2 linked regions of the Anolis sagrei genome follow. The protein of the gene in region 2 interacts with the protein of the main gene of each other region in a biochemical or structural test. Links are inferred from orthologs where the notes say so. Each region holds a gene or a part of one and is shown on either strand. Other genes may lie near its edges.

Region 1 (7,310 bases), on a different chromosome or scaffold from region 2:
GTCTTACCAACTAATAAGCCAAATCCAAGCTCATAGATGTGAAATAAACGAAGATGCCGCCTTTGTCCATGAATGTGGATAGAAGAACAGATCTTTTCTTCTTTTGTTTAGCAAAACAGGAGCACCAATTCCATTGGAATTTTGAAAAGATAGTTTTGCGAGGGTTCAAATCCCCACTCAGCAGTGATAAGATCTCTTAGGTGACTTATAGCACATTAGACAATTTTAGGGCAAGTACGGGTGGGGAGCCCCTAGCTTACAGAGCTATTTTGAGGCCTGCCAATTAACAAGACTGCTAGAATTAGAAGCCCATTGCTTATAACACAAGCTGGGCAATTCTTTTTTCCTGCCTAGAATTGTCTTTATTTTTAACGCTTCTTTTGCTCAACAACAATACAAAAACCCAATGTTGGCTTGAAGCTTCTGTATCTCAGAGACAAAAGTGGGGTAGTACAATTACTTCTAATAATAATTCTGAGAACTCCCAAAATTATAATTTGTGAAATTGGAATGACTAGAATACAAGCTGGGAAGTCTTTCTTTCAGGCCAGAAATGTCTTTATTTTTAATCGCCTCTGTTTGAAAAACAAACAGCCGAAAGCCAAAGCTTGCCCAAGTGCAAAGCTCTGGTCACATTTCTCCTCTGGAAGTGTCAAGAAAGAAAGTGTGAGCAAAAGAAGTGTTTTTTAAAAAGACATTTATATCTAGAAAAAAAATCCCCAGCTTGTATTCTAAGCATTTCAATTTAATATAACAGTACCGTGCAGCTGTGGACAAGTCTACATAGGGACCACCAAACTCAGCACCCAGACATGACGCAAAGAACATGAAAGCCACGGCAGACATGAAAGCTACAGCAGATGAACCGGCCTAGACACAGAATATTATTTCAGAACACAGAAATTCTGGACCACTCTGACAACCACTATTTCAGACTACACAGAGAAGCCATTGAAATCCACAAGCACACAGACAATTTCAACATAAAGGAAGAAACTATGAAAATGAATACTGGTTACGAGTATTAAAACACACCAGAATCAAGACAGTAAATAATGAACACCATTCAGAAACAGAAGAACTCCAGACAGCAAGCAATCAAGGGTCAGTTAACACCTCCCCAACAGAGGATGCCTCCAGGCAAGAGTCCAGGCTACCTCTATACAGATACCCTCACTGACTTACTTTGCACATTTATGGCTACTCAATGCTATTTAAGCTTGCCAAGTGCAACATTCACACTTTCTCTAATCCAGAGTTCCCCAGACTCTGCTCCTCCAGGTGTTTTGGACTTCAGCTCCCACAATTCCTAACATCTGGTAAGCTGGCTGGGATTTCTGTTAGCTGAAGTTCAAAACACCTGGAGAAGCACAGTTTGAGAAACAGGGAAGTCTTGCTACCCCTCTATTCTGCCTTAGTCAGACCACACCTGGAATATTGTGTCTAATTCTGGGCACCACAACTGAAGGTCAATGTTGACAAGCTGGAATGTGTCCAGAGGAGGGCAACTCAAATGATCAAGGGTCGGAAGAACAAGCCCTATGAGGAGTGGCTTAAAGAGCTGGGCATGTTTAGCTTGAGAAAGAGAACGCAGAGGAGACATGATGGCCGTTTATAATTATGTGAGAGGAAGTCATAGGGGGGAGGGAGCAAGTTTGTTTACTGCTGCCCTGGAGACCAGGACACAGAACAATGGCTTCAAAGTACAAGAAAGGAGATTCCATCTGAACATTTGGAAGAATTTCCTGACTGTGAGAACTGTTCAGCAGTGGAACTCTGTGCCCCAGAGTATGGTGGAGGCTTCTTCTTTGGGGGCTTTTAAACAGAGGCTGGGTGGCTATCTGTCGGGGGTGCTTTGAATGAGATTTTCCTGCTTCTTGGCAGGGGGTTGGACTGGATGGCCCACGACGTATGTTCCAGCTCTACGATTCTATAATGCTCCACCTTTGTAACTACTCAACAGATGGCAGTACTGGTATGCAACAGGTTTTGGCTTGTTCAGTAGACTCTCCTCTACAGTTCCATTTTGGTAGGAAGCCTTAGCATTGAACGGTTGTGTTGTTAAAGTGCAAAGTATGAAACCCTGCGCAGACAGTCAGTCAATGTGACTTAAGCAATGCGCAGTCATTGAATTCTTGACAGCAGTAGGTGTCACCCCAAAGGAGATTCATCAGAGAATGCAAGCTGTTTATGGTGATTGTGTTGATGTGAGAACAGTGCGTCGTTGGGTGAGAAAGTTTAAAGATGTAGAGGTGGAAACATCTGACTTGCATGACAAACAAAGAGTTGGACATCGTGTGACAGCAATCACCGAGTTTCACAAGCAAAAGGTTGACAAATTGATTCGGGATGATTGTCGTATCACTCAGAGAGAAATTTCAAGCATAATCGGCATTTTGCAAGAACGTGGGGCTCACATTATTGCTTTGCTTGGCTATTGGAAGATCTGTGCATGATGGGTACTCAGGATGAGAGAACTGTGAGACACTGGTTGAGGAAACAGACTGTCGACTGTGTTGTTGTTGGTTTTTCGGGCTATATGGCCATGATCTAGAGGCATTTTTTCAGGCTATATAGCCATATTCTAAAGAAGACTATCGACTTCTTCCATGATGGCTTCAGAAAACTAGTTCATCGTTAGCAGAAATGTATCCAATTGTCTTGTGATTATGTGGAAAAGTGAATAGTGGTAGTTAAAGAGCACATTCTAAGAATTAGTTCTGTGTTTGGGTTGTTGTAGGTTTTTTCGGGCTATATGGCCATGTTCTAAAGGGTAAAGGCATTTTCTCCTGACGTTTCGCCTGCATCTATAGCAAGCATCCTCAGAGGTAGTGAGGATGCTTGCCATAGATCAGCATTTCTCAGTCTGGGGGGGGGACCCCTTGGGGGGTCGTGAGGGGGTTTCAGAGGGGTCACCAAAGACCATCAGAAAATACAGTACTTTCTGTTAGTCATGGGAGTTTTGTATGGGAAGTTTGGCCCAGTTCTATTGTTGGTGGGGTTCAGAATGCTCATTGATTGTAGGTGAACTATAAATTCCAGCAACTACAGCTCCCAAATGTCAAGTCTATTTTCCCCAAACTCCAGCAGTGTTCACATTTGGGCATATTGAGTATTTGTGCCAGGTTTGATCCAGATCATCATTGTTTGAGTCCACAATGCTCTCTGGAAGTAGGTTAATTACAACTCAAGGTCAACGCACACCAAACCCTTCCAGTATTTTCTGTTGGTCATGGGAGTTCTGTGTACCAAGTTTGGTCCAATTCCATCGTTGGTGGAGTTCAGGTTAACTATAAATCCCAGAAACTATAACTCAATCTCATCCCCACCGCGACAGTACTCAAATTTGGGGTATTTGTGCCAAATTTGGTCCAGCGAATGAAAATATATCCTTCATATCAGATATTTACATTATGATTCATAACAGCAGCAAAATTACAGTTATGAAGTAGCAACAAAAATAATTTTATGGTTGGGTGTCACCACAACATGAGGAACTGTATTAAGGGGTCACGCATTAGGAAGGTTGAGAACTACTGCCATAGATGCAGGCAAAACGTCAGGAGAAAATGCCTTTAGAACATGGCCATATATCCCGAAAAAACCTACAGCAACCCAGTGATTCCGGCCATGAAAGCCTTCGACAAGTTCTGTATTTGATTTATTAAAATATTCCCATTCAAGCCCAAGTAACGAAGGTGGAGGCATTACTTTTAATTCAACCCTATATAAATGTTTCAAATAAATAAATTTCTCTTAATCCCTCCTTACTATCCAACATTTTTGCTTATCCAACGTTCTGGTTATGTTGGATAAGCGAGACTCTGCTGTATTATGATTCTGAGAACTCCTTCAAATTATCAGTTGCAACATTGCAAGGCCTAGAATGCAAGAGGGGGGAATCCTCTTTCTGGAGACTCCTGTCTTTTAAGAATTCTAGTGGTGAGCAGAGCTTCTCACCTGGGCAGGCTTTGGCTTTGTTTGTTTTGCAAGCAGAGGAACTGAGAGAGAAAGTCAACAGCGCATGGAGGCGGGGAGGGAAGCAGGCGGGAGCCTTTTAAGCAAACGGAGGCTGCCTTCAGAAGTTCACCTTGCTATTATCTGGACCCCCTTCCCGCTCCTGAGGCAGGCTTGGCGCGCCATTCTGGCCATTGCGGCCTTTCTCTCCTGAGGGAGAAGGCCAAGGTAGGGCGCACCTGTGGGAGGGCCGCCTCCTTCTCTCTCCGCGTGGCGTGGAAGGGGAAGGAGGCCTTTTTTCCCTCCCCGGCCCCTCCTCCCCGCGCAATTCCAACTCCGCGGGCCCCTCCCCTCCCTGCTTCCCTCAGGCCGAGGCGCAGAGGAAGGGAAGGTGGACGGCAGGAGAGGTGGGCCCTTCCCTTGCCACTGCAGCAGGAGGAGGGAAAGGCAAGGAAAGGAAAGGTGGCGGGGTGCTCCTGTGAGGAGGAAGAGGGGGCTGCAAGGGAAGGAGGAGGAGGAGAAGGGATGCCGCCTTCCCTCCGGGTTGCTCCTCCGTTAAGATGCAGCCCGCGCTCCTCGGTCAGAGCCACGCCGGAGCCCGAGACCACGAACAACAACAGCAGCAGCAGCAGCAAGTGCAGCTGCGGCAAAAGCTGAGGGAATTGCCGGCGCTGCTCCGGAGTGGGCTCACGCTGCGGAGGAAAAACTCCACCGGCGGAGGACGGGTGAGTGAGTGAGTGAGTGAGTGAGTGGGAGGGAGAGATGGAAGGAGCGAGGGAGGGAAGGGGCGCCTCTTGGGCCCCTGCCTCTTGGGCCCCTGCCTCTTAGACCCGGCTCCGAAGGCGTATTGCGCAGCCAAGACCTCCCGCCTTCCCAGCCAGGCCCAAAAAGGGGTTTTGCAGCCGGAGGGAGGGAAGGAAGAGAGGGTTGGGTCTTCTGCTCAGCACCAGCAGGCAGGATGCGGGAATAGGAACCGGAGGGATGGAAGCATCTCAGGCTCGATCTCACTGCCACACCATACAGGTGAACGCCATTGACCTGGGCTCTATGACTACACCAGGTGTGAGCAAACTTGGGCCCTCCAGGTGCTTTGAACTTCAACTCCCACCATTCCTAACAGCCTCAGGCTGGATCTCCACTGCCACACCATGCAGGTGAACGGCGTTACTTGGGCCTTCCAATAACTGAGTAATTGGAACTGGGTTCCAATAGAACTGGGTTCTATGACTCTCCACCAGGTGTGAACAAACTTGGGCCCTCCAGGTGCTTTGGACTTCAACTCCCACCATTCCTTACAGCCTCAGGCTGGAGCTCCACTGCCACACCATGCAGGTGAATGGCATTAAACAGGGTTCTATGATGACACCAGGTATGAGCAAACTTGGGCCTTCCAGAAACCCATAGAACTGGGTTCTATGACTCTACACCAGGTGTGAGCAAACTTGGGCCCTCCAGGTGCTTTGGATTTCAACTCCCATCATTCCTAACAGCCTCAGGCTGGATCCCCACTGCTACACCATATAGGTGAACAGCATTGAGCTGGGGTCTATGACTATACCAGGTATGAGTACACTTTGGCCCTCTGGGTGTTTTGGATTTCAACTCCCACCATTCCTTACAGCCTCAGTCTGGATCTCCACTGCCACACCATGCAGGTGAACAACATTGATCTGGGTTCTATTACTACACCAGGAGTGAGCAAACTTGGGCCCTCCAGGTGTTTTGGACTTCAACTCCCACCATTCCTAACAGCCACGGGCTGGATCTCCACTGCCACACCATGCAGGTGGATGGCATTGAGCTTGGTTCTGTGACTACACCAGGCATGGGAAAACTTGGGCCCTCTGGGTGTTTTGGACTTCAAATCCTATCATTCCTAACAGCCCCAGACTGGATCTCCACTGCCACACCATGCAGGTGGATGGTATTGAACTGGGTTCTATGACTACATCAGGTGTAAGCAAACACGGCCCCTTTATTTATTATTTATTTATTTATTTATTTATTATTTGCACTTGTTAACCGCCACTCTCAAGCCCGAAGGCGACTCGTGGCGGTGTACAGAACATAGAACACAAAGGACAACAGGTTACAATAAATCAGGACCACAACACACATCTTACTAATACACAGCTACTTAACTAAAAATCCGCTTCGTCTTGTTTAGGGTCATAATCAATCTCGTAGTCATGGTCCATTCCGGTGGTCATTCCAAAAACATAGCACTTAGTTGAAGGCCTTCTCAAAGAGCCAGGTTTTCAGGCCCTTGCGGAAGGCCATGAGGGAAGGTGCCTGTCTGATTTCAGCAGGGAGGGAGTTCCACAGCCGGGGGGCCACCACCGAGAAGGCCCGCTCTCTTGTCCCCGCCAGGCGTGCCTGTGAGGCAGGCGGGACCGAGAGAAGGGCCTCCCCAGATGATCTTAAGGTCCTCGTGGGCTCGTAGGCCGAGATGCGGTTCTCAAGGTATTTTGGGCCGGAACCGTTTAGGGCTTTGTAGGATAACACCAGCACCTTAAATTGGGCCCGGTAGCTAATTGGCAGCCAGTGGAGCTGGGACAGCAAGGGCGTTGTGTGCTCCCTGCGTCCCGCTCCGGTTAACAACATGGCTGCCGCACGCTGGACTAGCTGGAGCTTCCGGGCCGTCTTCAAGGGCAGCCCCACGTAGAGAGCATTGCAGTAGTCGAGGCGGGATGTGACCAAAGCGTGTACCACCATGGCCAAGTCAGACTTCCCAAGATACGGGCGCAGCTGGCGCACGAGCCGAAGCTGTGCAAATGCTCCCCTGGTCACCGCCGAAACCTGGGGATCCAGGCTCAGTGATGAGTCCAGGGTCACACCCAAGCTGCGAACCTGTGCCTTCAAGGGGAGTGCGACCCCGACCAGCACGGGCTGTAACCCTATACCCTGTTCGGCCTTGCGACTGACCAGGAGTACCTCTGTCTTGTCTGGATTTAATTTCAGTTTGTTCGCCCTCATCCAGACCGTCACAGCGGCCAGGCACCGGTTCAGGACTTCGACAGCCTCCTTAGTAGCAGGTGGAAAGGAGTGACAGAGTTGGACGTCATCTGCGTACAGATGACACCGCACCCCGAAACTCCGGATGATCTCACCCAGTGGCTTCATGTAGATGTTAAACAGCATGGGGGACAGTATGGAGCCCTGAGGAACACCACAGGTCAACGGCTGTGGCGTTGAACAGGAGTCCCCCAGTAACACCTTCTGGGTACGACCCTCCAGAAATGACTGGAGCCACCGCAAAGCCCCATCTCTGCAAGGCGTCCCAGAAGAATACCGTGGTCGACGGTATCGAAGGCCGCTGAGAGGTCCAGGAGCACCAACAGGGACACACTCCC
Region 2 (7,645 bases):
TTGTGCCATGCAGTAATCTAATATTGACCACAGCACTACTGTTTTCCCTTACCGTTGGCAAGAGAAAGGGGACAGAGAGCCCAATCGAGAAACCTTTACTTTGGAGTAGTTGGATGGGGCTGTGGACAGGAAGGCTAACTGAAACTGGGGCCCCTTCCACACAGCTGAATAAAATCCCATACTATCTGTTTTGAACTGGAATATATGGCAGCGTGGACTCAGATAACCCAATTCAAAGCAGATATTGTGGGATTTTCTGCCTTGATATTCTGGGATATAGGGCTATGTGGAAGGGCCCTTGGAGGCAGCCTTGAAAAGGGGAAAAAAAAGAAAAATAAACCTGCAACTGAAGAGCAGATCTAATTATATATTATCTATTCACACTTTCTTCCTTGATCTGTATGGTGTTAGCCAGAAAGACACTTTCACATCTGTTTTTAAAAGCAATTTTATTATTCAAGGCTTCCAAAGAACTGCAGTCTCTTTTTCCATCTTCAAGCCATTTTTACAATCTTGCTGCAGCATTTGAATAACTTTATGGTCATTTATGATCTACTGCTGAATACATCTTCAACTGATTTTATTAATGTACTAATAAAAGTTTGACATGAGAACACCACAAATACATGAGACAAGGAGGGGGAATATAGTGTATGACGAAGACGAAATCCATCCCAAAAGGAACATAGACTTAATGGTGAATTATAATCAAGGGCCCCAAAGACTAAACAACCCCAATATGTGGTTAACATTTAAGGTGACATACTAAATGAGACATTGTGGAAGTTGCAGTCCAAAAAGCTCTAACACAAACTGGGGGCCCTTCCACCCAGCTCTATATCCCAGAATATCAAGGCAGTAAATCCCACAATATCTGCTTTGAACTAGGTTATCTGAGTCCACACGCAGATAATGTGGGATTTTCTGCCTTGGTATTCTTGATATAGGGCTGCATGAAAGGGCCCTCATTTAAATTGTTGGGACATAGGTTCACCGTGTCTGACTTGTTCCATTGATTTTTGTGGGTCTACTCTAAGCACAACTGTAAAATATCCAATATTGTCCTCCCTTGCATCAACAAGATTGCAAGTATTATTTGTGTCATCTGTTTCCTTATACATGGCAGCAGTCATCCTTCATTCTGTGCTGTTAACAGTCAATAACACACTTTTTGTTCTGATAAGGAGGGAGTGGAGTTCTGTTTGCTCTCTTATTTTAGTGTAGATTGTTATTCCTATGCTACTTATGCCATCTTCATTGCTTGCTGTGGTCTTTACTTCAAAAACAAAGCAAAAGGATACCATGTACACACACTTAAAACCAGGCATTTAAAAATCCTGAAATGACAGTAAGCTCTAGAAATGGTCAGGGATATTTACCAAGACATTTGCAGGAGTTCTGAGAGAGCATTTTAATACTTCTTTAAGATGAAGATCCTCTTTGGAATCCTACCTATTTCCTGCACAAATTCTACTAAGAGCTTAAAAATAGGGTTTAGAGAGGTCTGAGTGATGTCTTTTTTTGTCATTCTGTGCCTTATGTCCAGCACTAAACCGAACTATGCCTGACTTTTGATTTTTAGAATATATATGTCTATTGTGTATTATCTTACACAATAGCTATACAGTTATATTTATACCCCATGTTTTCTCCAGTAAATCAAAAGAAATGTATATATATCGCTCTCTTCCCCACTTTTTATTTTCACAATAGTGATCCTGGAAGGGAGAGCAGGCTGAAATCAACTGGTCCAAGTCACTATGCAAGTTTCATGACTAGAATTTCCCAGTTAACACTAAACCATTTCCAGATCCTCCACCTAGGATCTGGAAATGGCAGTGCATATGCTGGTAACCACAGGTATGTGATGTCAAGAGGAAATCTTTACTTATTGATTCTCATGGAGGACCTCATCGCACTAGAGAACCAATCCACTTTAAATCTGGTTTCTGCCTCCTGCAGAATTCTGGGGTTTGTAGTTGAGTGGGACTGTTAAAAGCTCCCCCTTAAACTACAAACCCCAGAATTCTGCAGGAGGCAGAAACCAGATTTAAAGTGGATTCATGCTGTAGTGCAGGCATGGGAAAACATTTTTGCTTTGGGGCTGTATTATGGGCTCAACCAAGATGGCCAGGCTGGGAGGGAGAGGGCCTGTAAGAGGGTGGGGCCGGGGCAGGGCCTGGGTCAACCTAAGGTTGTCCTCTTGGCATAGGGATGCTTGCCCCTTGTGCCATAAGGATGCTCATCTCATCCTTGTGCCGGGAGGAAAAAAACAGGTGGCAACTGCTCCGATACTCCTTCCTGATCTTCGGGCTGTCCTCCGGAGCATTCTGGAGGTCTCTTAGCTGCTACATGCCTTCCTCGGGCCATCCTCTCAGCATAAGGATGGGACCACTCACACTGTCCTTATGCCAGGAGGGCAGGACATGCTGTGGCTGAGAGCACTCCAGAGGGATCTCAGTTGCTGCATGCCTTCCTCCCCTGTCCTTTCTGCATAAGGATACAGCAGGCCACCATGTCCTTATACTGAGAGGATAAGGAAAATGAGGGCCTGAAGTGGGTGCCCAGGGAGCCGTATCCAGCCCTCAGCCTTTAGTTTGCCCATTCCTGCTCTAGTGTGATGAGTCCAGGGTCGTAACTGGGGTGGGGGTGGGGTAAGAGTTCTAATTTCGCAAAAGGGTTCTAACACACACCCCTCCCCGAAACCTGGTTTACTCAAGAATTTTAAATGGTTAACCAAGTTATGAGTAAACCAGGTTTCTTTTGTAACCTTTAAAGATCTAAACAGTTCTGACCCTGATTACCTGTCCGAATGTATCTCCTGTTATGAACCATCGCGAAGTCTAAGGTCATCTGGAGAGGCCCTGCTCTCAATCCCACCACCAACGCAAACGCGATTGGTGGGGACGAGAGACAGTGGCTCCCCGTCTGTGGAACTCCCTTCCCAGGGACATCATACTGGCCACCTCCCTCCTGTCTTTCAGAAGGAAACTTCGACTAGCAACAAGTGGAAAGAAGACTCAGGCAACCCAGGACAATGAATTGACCCAGATTTGGATTTGGTTTTTAAATGGCATGTCTAATCAATTGTTTTTAATTAACTGTTTTAATGTATTTATTGAAATGTTTTATGATGGTGATGGCACTGTATGGTGCTTGTTGTGAGACTGCTCTGAGCCCCCCAGGCCCCCCTGCAACGGGGGTGAGAAAGGAGGGGTATTGTTGTTGTTCATTCGTTTCTGACTCTTTGTGACTTCATGAACCAGCCCATGCCAGAGCTCCTTGTCCGTCGTCACCACCCCCAGCTCCTTCAAGGTCAATCCAGTCACTTCAAGGATACCATCCATCCATCTTGCCCTTGGTCGGCCCCTTTTCCTTTTTCCTTCCATTTTCCCCAGCATCATTGTCTTCTCTAAGCTTTCCTTTCTTCTCATTATGTGGCCAAAGTACTTCATCTTGGCCTCTAGTATCCTTCCCTCCAATGAGCAGTCAGGCTTTATTTCTTGAAGTATGGACTGATTGGATCTTCTCGGTGTCCAAGGCACTCTCAGCACTTTCCTCCAACACCACTGTTCAAAAACATCTATCTTCCTTCGCTCAGCCTTCCCTATGGTCCAGCTCTCACATCCATAGGTGACTATGGGGAATACCATTGCTTTAACTATGCCAGTGTGATGTCTCTACTCTTCACTATTTTATCAAGATTGGTCATGGCTCTCCTCCCAAGAAGTAAGTGTCTCCTGACAGGCCGGTAGCCAGGATTTCGATTGGGGGGGGGGGGGGGTGAGTCTGAGTGAAAGAGGGTCTACCCCAGCAAACCTTTTGTATCGTTACCCCAATACCCCCGTGCATATGGGATATATTGAGTATGGTGATCAGATCATGATATGAATAAACATAACAGTTTAAATAATGCACCAGTAAGGCCTTTTCGCGAACCACCATGAGAATTTCGGGGGGGGGGGGGGCTGAAGCCTCTCACCCCCCCCCCCCCCGGCTACAAGTCTGTCTCCTGATTTTCTGGCTGGAGTCTGCGGGATATAAATCTATGAAATAAATAAATAAATAATAACATGGCACATTTCAGGGTAGGGTTGAATTTTACCCCCCCCCCCCCCCCCCCGCTATGGCCCTGGATGGGTCTCTTATTATTCTGCAAGTGACTGCAGTCCATCCCTTGGAGCCCCGCCTCCTAACTTTTTCCCTGCTGCGTGGAGAGAGAAGAGGAAGAAAAAACACACTCTTCCTATGCTCAGAGGCGATGAAGAAGACTCAGCATTAAATCCCAGTGGTTCTTTCCGGCTGTTCCAAGGTGCAGGAATCCAGAAATCCATTCTGGGAGGTGGAATGACCACAGCCTTGGGAGATTAGTCCTGCCGCAGCTGAAAAAGGAGCAAAGCCAAGCCGACAAAGGAGTAGTGCTGCAATACGCAGAAGGAAAGGCAGCTCTGTCCGGTGAGGACGTTTGTCCCTAGTTTCCAGCCACGAAAGGAGACGCAAAGAGGGCAGTGGAAAGGGACAGTTCTTCCCCACAAGCAGTGGAAAGGGGCAGGCTCAGCGTTGGAAGCGAAGCCAAGGCTGGGCCAACCCCCGCCCCGCTTGCTCGCTCGCTTGCTTCCTTCCTCTTGCTCTCCAACTCTTTGCTGGCCCGCCTTTGCGCGCCCTCGCTCCTCCTTTTGCCGGCTCCTCCTCCTCCTCCTCTTTCCCCGATCGCAGGCAGGAAAAGGGGGGCCGAAAGGAGGGAGGAGGAGGAGGAGAAGCAGCCACTGACGCGTCCTCCCTCGGCTGAGCTTCCCGCAAAGGCAAGGCGCCGAAGAGCCGGAGAGAAAAGCGAGAGCAACCCAGGCGCTTGGAGAAAGCCAACCAACTGGAGACACAGACGCACACAGAGAGGAAGAGGCTGCGCGCTGGCTCCCGGCGATCAGCAGCAACGGGGTGAGCCAAAAAAGGGGGCGAATCCGTCTCTCCTGCCGGGCCCAGCGCTTCTTTCTCCGCCTGCCAGGCCGAGGGGCCCGCTTGCTTCCCTTTTTGGCTCCTAGCCCGGCTGAAGAGGGCGCGGGTGGCTCTCTTTCCCGTGCGCAAAAACTGGGAGGAGAAGGAAAAGGAGGAGGAAGGCGCGTCTCCGAAGGGAAAAGGAGGGAAGGAGGGGGAATGGTCCCGTTGGGGGGGGGGGCATCTGTATGCATCTGTGGGTCAGAGACACCCGCAGACACTTCTCTGGCTTGGCTCCAAGCGGGCTGTCAGCGCGTCTCCCTTGCCGAGTCCTCCTTTTTTCCCCTGGCTGCGTGTGCGTAAAATAGCCGGAGGCAGCCAGGGAAAAAAAGGAGGACTCGGCAAGGGAGACGCGCTGACAGCCCACCCGCCTGCTTCCCTGCCAAGAAGGAGTGCCCACCAAAGAGTCAGCTGTGTGTCTGTGTTGCAATTGTGGCTCTTGAGCCAGATCTGGCCTCCAGCCTCCCTTCCCAAGGAGAAGCCACGCTCCCATTCTTAAGAGAGTGCCTTTCTTGGGATCTGGCACCGCGCACAGAAAAGCCACGTTTTCTCCCTCGGTTTCCTCCTCTCTTCCTCTCTCCCGGATTGCCTTTTGTGTTGGTGGACTTCTCTCCCAGGCTGGACGGGAAGTAGGACCTTTTCTGAAACCCTTGGGAGTGGCCAAAGGGGAGCCAGCCACTCACTGCTGGAGTGTTTTCCAACCCTGCGCCAAAGGTGGAAGGGATGGGCTCCTCCTCGAAGACTAACTCTGCTGCTTCCCAGTTTTGGGGAACTTCAACTCCCAGAATCCTTGGTCGTTGGCCAAAGCAGCAGGGACTTCTGGGAGTTGAAGTCCTTTGTGTGTGTGTGTGTTGCTTTCTTTTTTATTTTCTCTTTATTTGCTGTCCATGCATGCTCAGGGCCCTTCCACACAGCCCTCTATCCCAGAATATCAAGGCAGGAAATCCCATGTTATCTGAGTTATCAGGGCCCTTCCACATAGCTGAATAGAATCCCACATTATCTGCTTTGAACTGGGATATATGGCAGTGTGGACTCAGGTAACCCAACTCAAAGCAGGTATTGTGGGATTTTCTGCTTTGATATTCTGGGGTAAAGGGCTTTGTGGAAGGACCCCCAATTCAAAAGCAGATATTGTGGGATTTTCTGACTTGATATTCTGGGATAAAGGGCTGTGTGAAAGGGCCCTCAGAAGGATATTCTGGAGATCTATGTGTTGTCGAAGGCTTTCATGGCCAGAATCACTGGTTTGCTGTGAGTTTTCCTGTCTTTATGGCCATGTTCCAGAAGCAATCTCTTCTGACGTTTCACCTGCATCTATGGCAGGCATCAAGAGAGAATGCTTCTGGAACATGGCTATGCAGCCCAGAAAACTCTCAGCAACATAGGCACCTTCCACACAGCTGAATAAAAGCCCACATTATCTGCTTTGATATTGGAATATATGGCAGTGTGGACTCAAGACCCTTTCATACAGCCCTATATCCCAGAATATCAAGGCAGGAAATCCCATATTATCTGAGTGTGGACTTTGGGCCCTTCCACACAGCCCTATATCTAGAATATCAAGGCAGGAAATCCCACAATATTTGTTTTGAACTGGGTTATTTGAGTCCACACTGACACATATTACAGTTCAAAGCTGATAATGTAGGATTTTATTCAGATAACCCAGTTCAAAGCACATATATTGTGGGATTTTTTAATTATTTTTTTTTTGCAGAAGGCCCCCAGTTGATCAATATCAGTGTTTAGCAAACGTTGGTTTTCCAGTGTTGCCTTTCCTCCATGCCCAGTGTGGGATTCTAGGGACGGTTAATCTAGGGGCCCTTCCACACAGCCCTATAACCCAGAATGTCAAGGCAGAAAGTCCCACAATATCTGCTTTGAACTGGGATACCTGAGTCCACACTGCCATATATACCAGTTCAAAGCTGATAATGTTGGATTTTATTCAGCTGTGTGGAAGGGGCCTCTATCAGTGTGTTCCCAACTCTGGTCTTCCAGGTGTTTTGAATTCCAACTCCAGAGCAGATAAAAGTCCAAAACACCCGAAGGACTGGGAGTCACAGCTTTAAAGGATTTAGCATGGCTGGGCTTTTAGCTTCTAATGGGCGTAGTGCAGCACAGGGCCCTTCCTGACAGGCCCTATATCCCAGGACCTGATTTTGTTTATGATAGATTATTTGGCAGTGCAGACCCATAATCCAGTTTAAAGCAGAAAACATGGGATCAGTTCCTGGGATATAGGGTCTGTCTGGAAGGGCCCACAAACTGTTTGACTTCTTGCTAACTTGGATCTGTTGGAAGTTGTAGCTTAAGTTGATGGATGATATTATTATTTTTTGATATACAACAAGATTAGTACACAGCAAACAAGATCACTATGCTGACTTTTGTATTCGATCACATGTCGCACACTTTCCAAGTGTCTAGGATTGTATGATGTATCTGCAAATAATGCGTGCAGATCCGAGTAGGGTGGCCTTTTGTAGCTGATAGATGGTAATTTTGTCAGCGCTGATTGTTTTTCAGTGCAGGCCAAGGTCTTTAGGCACTGCACCCAGTGTGCTGATCACCACTGGGACCACCTTTACTGGCTTGTGCCAGAGTCTTTACAGTTTGATCTTTAAATACAGGAGTTTCCTAGCAT

Evidence for each region. The genes of interacting proteins can lie anywhere in the genome.
Region 1: of the proteins of RAP1A (region 2) and RAPGEF5, one has a biochemical effect on the other in vitro, tested with the Homo sapiens proteins (2 studies listed by BioGRID). The link is inferred for Anolis sagrei from reciprocal best matches to the Homo sapiens genes RAP1A and RAPGEF5.

Annotation. Positions count from the first base shown.
Region 1 is NC_090026.1:93,381,403-93,388,712, forward strand, and holds the start of RAPGEF5 (rap guanine nucleotide exchange factor 5), read left to right. Parts: upstream 1-4,281; 5' UTR 4,282-4,517; coding exon 4,518-4,682; intron 4,683-7,310. UniProt on the Homo sapiens protein: Guanine nucleotide exchange factor (GEF) for RAP1A, RAP2A and MRAS/M-Ras-GTP. Its association with MRAS inhibits Rap1 activation.
Region 2 is NC_090024.1:199,234,178-199,241,822, forward strand, and holds the start of RAP1A (ras-related protein Rap-1A), read left to right. Parts: upstream 1-4,639; 5' UTR 4,640-4,935; intron 4,936-7,645. UniProt on the Homo sapiens protein: Counteracts the mitogenic function of Ras, at least partly because it can interact with Ras GAPs and RAF in a competitive manner. Together with ITGB1BP1, regulates KRIT1 localization to microtubules and membranes.